2 linked regions of the Macaca fascicularis genome follow. The protein of the gene in region 1 interacts with the protein of each later gene in a biochemical or structural test. Links are inferred from orthologs where the notes say so. Each region holds a gene or a part of one and is shown on either strand. Other genes may lie near its edges.

Evidence for each region.
Region 2: of the proteins of IFIH1 (region 1) and TRIM65, one has a biochemical effect on the other in vitro, tested with the Homo sapiens proteins (2 studies listed by BioGRID, with this or other methods). The link is inferred for Macaca fascicularis from reciprocal best matches to the Homo sapiens genes IFIH1 and TRIM65.

What each region holds. Positions count from the first base shown.
Region 1 is NC_088386.1:57,786,628-57,790,536, reverse strand, and holds the start of IFIH1 (interferon-induced helicase C domain-containing protein 1), read left to right. Parts: upstream 1-1,166; 5' UTR 1,167-1,524; coding exon 1,525-1,977; intron 1,978-3,909.
Region 2 is NC_088390.1:82,303,857-82,307,765, reverse strand, and holds the start of TRIM65 (E3 ubiquitin-protein ligase TRIM65), read left to right. Parts: upstream 1-1,742; 5' UTR 1,743-1,824; coding exon 1,825-2,232; intron 2,233-3,909. UniProt on the Homo sapiens protein: E3 ubiquitin ligase that plays a role in several processes including innate immnity, autophagy or inflammation.

The sequences.
Region 1 (3,909 bases):
TTGAATGTACTGTGCTAACAGATTATTTTTCCTAAATATGTCTCTTTGATAACCTGAATGATCTCTCCATCCTTTATATAATTCTGGACCATGAGGTTCTAGTTATGGTGTGTATGTGCCTACCACCCACAGTCACACGTGACTACAGAATGCCTCCTAAATGAGAAGTAACCTTAAGGACTCACATTCATGTGGCTTCTGTACCAAAATGAAGCTGCCATTTTTCAGTGTGAATATGTTTTTTTTCTCTCATGACATAGACAAATGTTGATGTTTACTACAAGTTGGTACATTAGTTGCTAATTAAGTTCCTAGCTGCTCCAGCCAAAACTTGCTGTATTGAATCCAAGAAAAGAATGGCAGCTATATCAAAAATAAGTTGTTGGGGGATTTTTTTGTTTTGTTTTATTAAAGGAAAGTTGTATATTAAAGAATATAGGGAACTTACAAGCTGGAATCTAGGAAGCCTTCAGTCTTGACTTCCGTATAAGCTGAGTTGGTGGTTCAAGGCCATCCACATCTGTTACCAGGTTCTGGTCAAAGCTGCATAAATACCAGCAACCTAAATATGAGGCAGTAAAGTTAACTGTTTATTGTTACTCACTTTTTCGTACCCACCTGCAAATTCCCAGGGAAACAAGTTAGTGTCTGGGAACCCACGGGAGGTCAGGTTTATTTTAGGGAGGGCACAGAGGTGACTTCCTCCTGGCTTCTCCACATCTCTGCAAAGATGTCTTCTGAGCTTCATCTCTCACCTGTCCCTCGCAGTCTCACCAACCTCAGCCAGGCCTGCCTTGCTGCATTCACCAGCCGAGGGTAACTCCCTGTTCACGGCCGGGTCTGTGGCAGTTTCTGTTCACTTCCCCATTGGAAAGTCCCAAATCACAGGCTTTTATGCACTGCACGTTTTGACCTACAAAGGACCTGATTGTTAAGGCAGAACCCCGCTGGGAAAACAAAATAACCGCAGGAGGAGCTTTGCTAGAGTGTTGGTCTTGGTGCCAGAGAGAATTCGCTTTCCTTTTCTGTTTCCCGCGGTGTCCTTGACCAAAGGCCTCCCGTCTTCACCCGCCCCGACCAAAAGGTGGCGCCTCCCTGAGGAAACTCCCTCCCCTCTAGGCCGATTACGTTTGCAAAGTCCTGAAAAGAGAATCGAAACAGAAACCAAAGTCTGGGAAACTCCTTAAAAACTGCCTGACAGAAAGCTAGACTCGAAGCTCCTACCCGTCTGTGCAGCCGGATCGACCCGGTTCGGGACCCGGGGTGCACACCGCAGAGTCCAAAGTGCCGCGCCCGCGGCCCCGCGCGCCTCCCCGCTGCCCACCTGCCCACCTGCCCAGGTGCGACCGCAGCCCCGCGCGCCGGCCGGAGGGCTCTGCGGGCAACCTGGTCGTTGTCAGGCACAGAGAGGTAGACCCTTCTCCTCCAAGTGGGCAGCGGACAGCGGCACGCACATCTCACCTGTCCCGCAAAGAACAGCACCATCTGCTTGGGAGAACACTCTCCCTTCTCTGAGAAAGAAAGATGTCGAATGGGTATTCCACAGACGAGAATTTCCGCTATCTCATCTCGTGCTTCAGGGCCAGGGTGAAAATGTACATCCAGGTGGAGCCTGTGCTGGACTACCTGACCTTTCTGCCTGCAGAGGTGAAGGAGCAGATTCAGAGGACGGTCGCCACCTCCGGGAACATGCAGGCAGTTGAACTGCTCCTGAGCACCTTGGAGAAGGGAGTCTGGCACCTTGGTTGGACTCGGGAATTCGTGGAGGCCCTCCGAAGAGCGGGCAGCCCTCTGGCCGCCCGCTACATGAACCCTGAGCTCACTGACTTGCCCTCTCCATCGTTTGAGAACGCTCATGATGAATGTCTCCAACTGCTGAACCTCCTTCAGCCCACTCTGGTGGACAAGCTTCTAGTTAGAGACGTCTTGGATAAGTGCATGGAGGAGGAACTGTTGACAATTGAAGACAGAAACCGGGTAGGTGTCTGTTCAGACGGAGCTAGCCTTTTAGGCAGATTTTGCAAAGCAGGTTTCCTTGTGCGTTTGCCCCTTTCCAAATGTGCATGACATCTTTGGGCACATCTAGTTTCTTCCTTTGAGAAGACAACATCTAGGCACTTTAAGACAATGTTGAAAATTTAAACACAAAAGAACTACTTTTCTAATCTTTTCACTGAACTAAAAAGGAGTTAACTTTAGAATTGTAATGTATATTAACAGGTAACATGTATTGAACACTTACTATGTGCACTTGGTATCATTTTCAAAATGTATTACTACAGTTCATGTTCAGAGTAACCCACTGAGGCTCCTAATGTTATTAACTCCATTTTGCAGATGAGAAAACCTGAGGCAGATTAAATAATTTGCCCAAAGTGTTGAATGTTTTTCTTATTTAATGTAGTTGCACGGAGCAGGGGTCAGCAAACTACGGCCCACGGGCTAAATCCAGCCTGCTACTGTTTTTTTCAGGCCCCCAGGCTAAGGACGGTCTCTAGATTTTTCAATTTTTAATTTTCAGTGTTCATAAAGTTTTATTGGAACACAGTCATGTTCGTTTGTTTACATATTGTTTGTGGCTGCCTTTCTACTCCAAAGGCAATTGGATGGAGACTATGTGCCCTTAAAGCCGAAAATATGTATTATCTGGCATTTTAGAGAAAAAGTTTTCCAATCTTTGCCCCACATTACATATTGTGCCATTTATTCTTAGCCCAAATGGGTAAATTGCAATCACACACACACACACACACACACACACACACACACACACACACCCTTTTCTCTTTCTTTAATCAAAGTTTCTACATTTTCTGAGAATCAAAATTTAAAAACAATTCATTGAAAGAATGTGTTGCTAATTTCAGTTTTTCATGTTAGTGGAGAAACTGGATTTTTCTTAAGGTGGCATTTTGACAGGGCGAATTTTACTGATGACTTTACATTAAATGTGATATGAATTGTTTTTTGATAAGTGAAGATGTACTGAGGTGTGTATAAATGCTGACCTGTTTGCATCTGACTTACTCAGGCTCGTAAGTCAAAAGTCTTGTTTTGGAAGACATGTAGACGAATAAAGCCATGACTAAAAGTCAAAGGCTTTGTCTACACCACTGTATGATTTTCACATTTTTTTCCTCTCTTTTTGGTTCATCCATTGTTTGTGTATTCATTACTAACTTCTGGGCATTTGATTGATTGGCTATAGCCTATGATGTAATTTAGTCTTTAGTGAATAAAGTTAGTGATCTTTTGTAGACTTGACAGACACAGGGCCTGTCCAAAGACCCAAACATGCATCTAATTTTGATGGCCAGTTTTCCCAACAAGTAAATTACTTTGCACTGTTGTCTGTAATGTTTATGTCGTTTTGTGTATTGAGAACAAGCTAGAACGCATTATAGTAGTCCAGCTGGATATGACAAATGTGTACATCACTGTGGCAGAATCTTAATTTGGAAGAAAGTATGCAGCCTTCAAGCCAGCTGGAGATGGAAGATGGCATTTCCAGCCACAGTAGCTGTTAGAAGTCCAGAAGCAACAGAGTCCAGTAACACCACAAAGCTGTTTATGTTTGGTGGGTATGATGTCCCGATTGCCAGCGAAACAGCACTTCTCCCTATTTACTCTAAATACTTCTGCCTATCAGCATCACTTTTGTCTTGCCTGGATTGAATTTCCGCCAGCTAGATTTTATCCAAGTTCTTGATTCTGGCAAGCTTGGAGGCAGCTAGCAGTAATGCAAGGGATTTGACACAAAGAAGATATAGAGTAAAGGGACTTTCTTGTACTAGTAGCAGTTAAGGCCAAAGCAACCCAAATTCTCCCTCTGATTCACATTTCAAAGGAGGCCCCGAAAGACTAAGCAGCTATACATTTGAGGCTCTCTAGGAAGTAATAGTATCTCTG
Region 2 (3,909 bases), on another chromosome or scaffold:
GGCCCTGCCTCAGGCAGCCCCTCTGTGGCCCCCTCCCATCAGGCCCAGGGTTTGGAGTGAAAGGGACTCTCAGGTGATGGGGTGGGGGATGTGAATAAAGATGATTTCTTGCCAGGCTTGGTGGCTCATGTCTGTAATCCCAACACTGGGAGGCTGAGGAGGGAGGATCGCTTGAGCCCAGGAGTTCAAGACCAGCCTGGGCAACATAATGAAACCCTGCCTCTATTAAAAAAAAAAAAAAAAAAAAGATGATTTCTGCCATAGCTGGCCTGGTTCGGTGTTCCAGGGCCAGAGGACCCCGATGGAGCTGTACTCATGGGTGGGAAAGGGGCTGCCTCCCACCCCACCAGGTGCACCCTGACCTCCATCTTCTGAGGGTGTCGGGGACCCTGGGATCCGAAGCAAAAGCAGGCAGTGGGCCAAAAACAGGTGTGGCCCTGGGAAGGGAGACGGACATCCCAATCCAGCAGGTGCCTGAAACCCAGCTCCCCGAAAAAGTGGAGCAGAGCAGCTGGGCTCAGGAGGGAGCATTTATTGAGCACTGGCTGTGTGCCCCACGGGGTCCCACCGGGCCCCTGGAGAGAGAGTGCCTGCCCCAGCACTGACCCTCTGCACAGACTCCCGCCCCCACCCCATGCTTGGGAGGAGAAGCCACATTAGGTAGGTAACAGCGTGACTCAAGAGACCTGCTCAGGGTCAGAAAGCCCATGGAGCCTGCGGCTGGACGGTTAGGTGTTTTGTTTCTCCCTTACCAAAAGCAGAAGTCTGGCTAACTAGTAGGTGGAGGGTAGATCCGTGCACTTTTTCCAGAAACTTCGCCGGTGGCCGCACACAGGACGCAGTGCTTGCTGCAGCAGTGAGAGCTCGTGCCGCCGCAACATCAGCCGAGCTTGGTTAGATAGAAAGGCCTTGCTCTCCTGGGGTTCCCCCTGGCCTGATACACACTGCCAGGGAGGTGGGCGCTAGGCCCCAGACCCGCCTTGCCTGCTCAGCTGCAGGGGAAATGCTGGAGTGCCTCTAAATACTGAGGCTGCAGATCAGCTCGGACCCCAGGCAAGAAACTCCCCAGCAGAGGGCAGCAGGGAGAGGGGATGCTGATTGCAGCTGAAAGCTGGTTTGTGTACTCATTCAAGGGCCATTTGAAAAATACCAGTTAACTGGTCCCTGTCTGTTGGTGACCAGACATTTCCATCTCGCTGTTTACTTTAAAATAACCAAAATTACGTGTAGCCCAGAGAAGGAAGACACCCCAGTCTGGCAAGTGCCCGAAACCCAGCTCCAGGAAAAAGTGCAGCAGTGCTCGGGTCTGCAGGGAGCCCGCCAGCCCACGTGCACTGACTTTCGTTTCGTCGCCGAGCCCCGGGGGATTGCGCGGGTGGTCTATGCCCTTAGGCCATTGACAGATGAGTCCAGAAGAGGTTCCGCGCGACCCGTGGTCAGAAGCCCGGAGGCGGGGCGGGATTTTCGAGCCTCTGGTCTCCAGGACCTGGGCTGAAGGCCCACGGGGGTGGGATGGACCCGCCAGGCTGGGACCCGAGAGAGCCGAACCCAGCTCTCAGCCGGGGTGGCGCGGTGCCTAGAGGGAGGGAGGGGCGCAATGCCGGAACGCGGAGCCTTCGAACGGCCCAGGCCGAGGCGGGCAGGGGTGGCCTAGGCCCCTGCGGAGGTCGCTGGTCGAAGGTGTCGGAGAAGGGCCCGGCTTCCGGGGCGGGGACCTGGCCTCGCCCCGCCCCGCGTTAGCCACGCCCGGGCGCCCTCAGTACGCGAGGCCGGCTGTCCCTTTGAGAATTCCGGGGCCCGCCTGGCTCCCACCGCCAGCGGGCCATGGCCGTGCAGCTACTGGAGGAGAAGCTGACCTGCGCCATCTGCCTGGGACTCTACCAGGACCCAGTGACGCTGCCCTGCGGCCACAACTTCTGCGGAGCCTGCATCCGGGACTGGTGGGATCGCTGCGGGAAGGCGTGCCCCGAGTGCCGGGAGCCCTTCCCCGACGGCGCCGAGCTGCGCCGCAACGTAGCCCTCAGTGGCGTGCTGGAGGTGGTGCACGCCGGGCCCGCCCGGGACCCCGGCCCCGACCCCGGCCCCGGCCCTGCCGCGCGCTGCCCCCGCCATGGGCGGCCAATGGAGCTCTTCTGCCGTACCGAGGGCCGCTGCGTATGCAGCGTGTGCACCGTGCACGAATGTCGCCTCCACGAGCGGGCGCTGCTGGACGCCGAGCGCCTCAAGCGCCAGGTGACGCGTCCGCCGGGAACAGGAGGGGGCCGGACCCGCCGCGGCCTGGCCACCGCAGGATGACTCCTGCGGGCCGCGCCCTGCTCTCTCCGAGCACCCGGTGGGGGAGGGGAGCCTCAACTGGAGGGGCTTCGCCCAACCTGGGAGTTGATTATAAAAATCGCGGGTCTGCCAGGCGCGGTGGCTTACGCCTGTAATCCCCGCAGTTTGGGAGCCGAGGCGGGTGGATCACGAGGTCAGGAGATCGAGACCATCCTGGCTAACACGGTGAAACCCCGTCTCTACTAAAAATACAAAAAATTAGCCGGGCGTGGTGGCGGGCGCCTGTAGTCCCAGCTACTCGGGAGGCTGAGGCAGGAGAATGGCGTGAACCCGGGAGGCGGAGCTTGCAGTGAGCCGAGATCCGGCCACTGCACTCCAGTCTGGGCGACAGAGCCAGACTCCATCTCAAAATGAAAAAAAAATATCTCGCATCTGTGCATCGGACTGGGATGTGCAGCCCGGCCAGTGCCGCAGGGTGGGTCTCAGGAGCTGCTGGATGCCTTCCGGATGAAAAAAGCCTGGGCATGAGGCAGCAGCTCCCTGCTCCGTGCCCAGGCGCTAGAGAACAGTCGTGTGTCTGCTTTAATTCGCTGTGCGGGGTGGGGGTGGAGGGGTGAGGGGGGTATGGGGGCTGTTGGTAAATGGATAGACGAGCTCCCTGCCCTTAAGAGACTTAGAATCCACTTAAGAAGTCAGTGTTCCAGTAAGGCCTGAATGTATTCTTGCAAAATGCAGTGAGGAAAGTACATAGCATGTGATAGAGGTGTCGGGGTGACCCTGCTAAACAGGCCAGGAGGAGGAAGGGGAGGCCGCCTTCAGGCTGGCATGTGAGGGCTGAGGAAGCACCAGCCGGGAGGAGAAAGACCTGGGGAAGTGCATTCTAGGCAGAGGAATCAGCCTGCTTCCCTCTCTGGGATGGGAAAGAACTGGGCACGCGGGGTGGCTAGTGGCAGATTTGTGCCACTGAGATCTGTAGGCCAGGCCCCGGGGTCAGCAGGCGCCAGATCGGGCAGGGTCCTGGGGGAGCCTGTCTCTTACTCTAGTGTCATGGGAGCCATTGTAGGCTTGGAAGCAGGGTGGCACATGATCAGATTTGGGCTTCGTGGAGACTGATCACCTGGCTGGGGGCTGAAAGGGGCAGGACGCAAGACCTGAATAGGGTAGGAGCCCAGGGCAGGAGTGCAGGGAGGCAAGGAACCATTTGGAGGGCAGGGAAAGGAGACCAGGATGGAGGAGATGAGAAACGCTGAGGGGGAGCAGTGCCTTGTGGAGGCGAAAGCAGGCCAGAGGGGACATGGGGGACAGCAGAGAGGGCAGCAAGGGAGACACCTGGGTATTCTGTCTTGAGCACGCAGGTGGCTGGGGTCTGTGTGCTGAGAGACATAGGTGGAGGGCAGAGTTTGGCCTTGGACGTATAGAGGTGACAGTCGCCAGTGGGACAAACCAGGGGACGGGTCTGTGGCACCTGGGACCCCGGCCCTGCCGCGCGCTGCCCCCGCCACGGGCAGCCGCTGGAGCTCTTCTGCCGGACCGAGAGCTGCTGCGTGTGCAGCGTGTGCACCATGCGCGAGTGTCGCCTCCACAAGCAGGCGCTGCCGCCGGGAGTGGGAGGGGGCCAGACCCACCGCAGCCTGG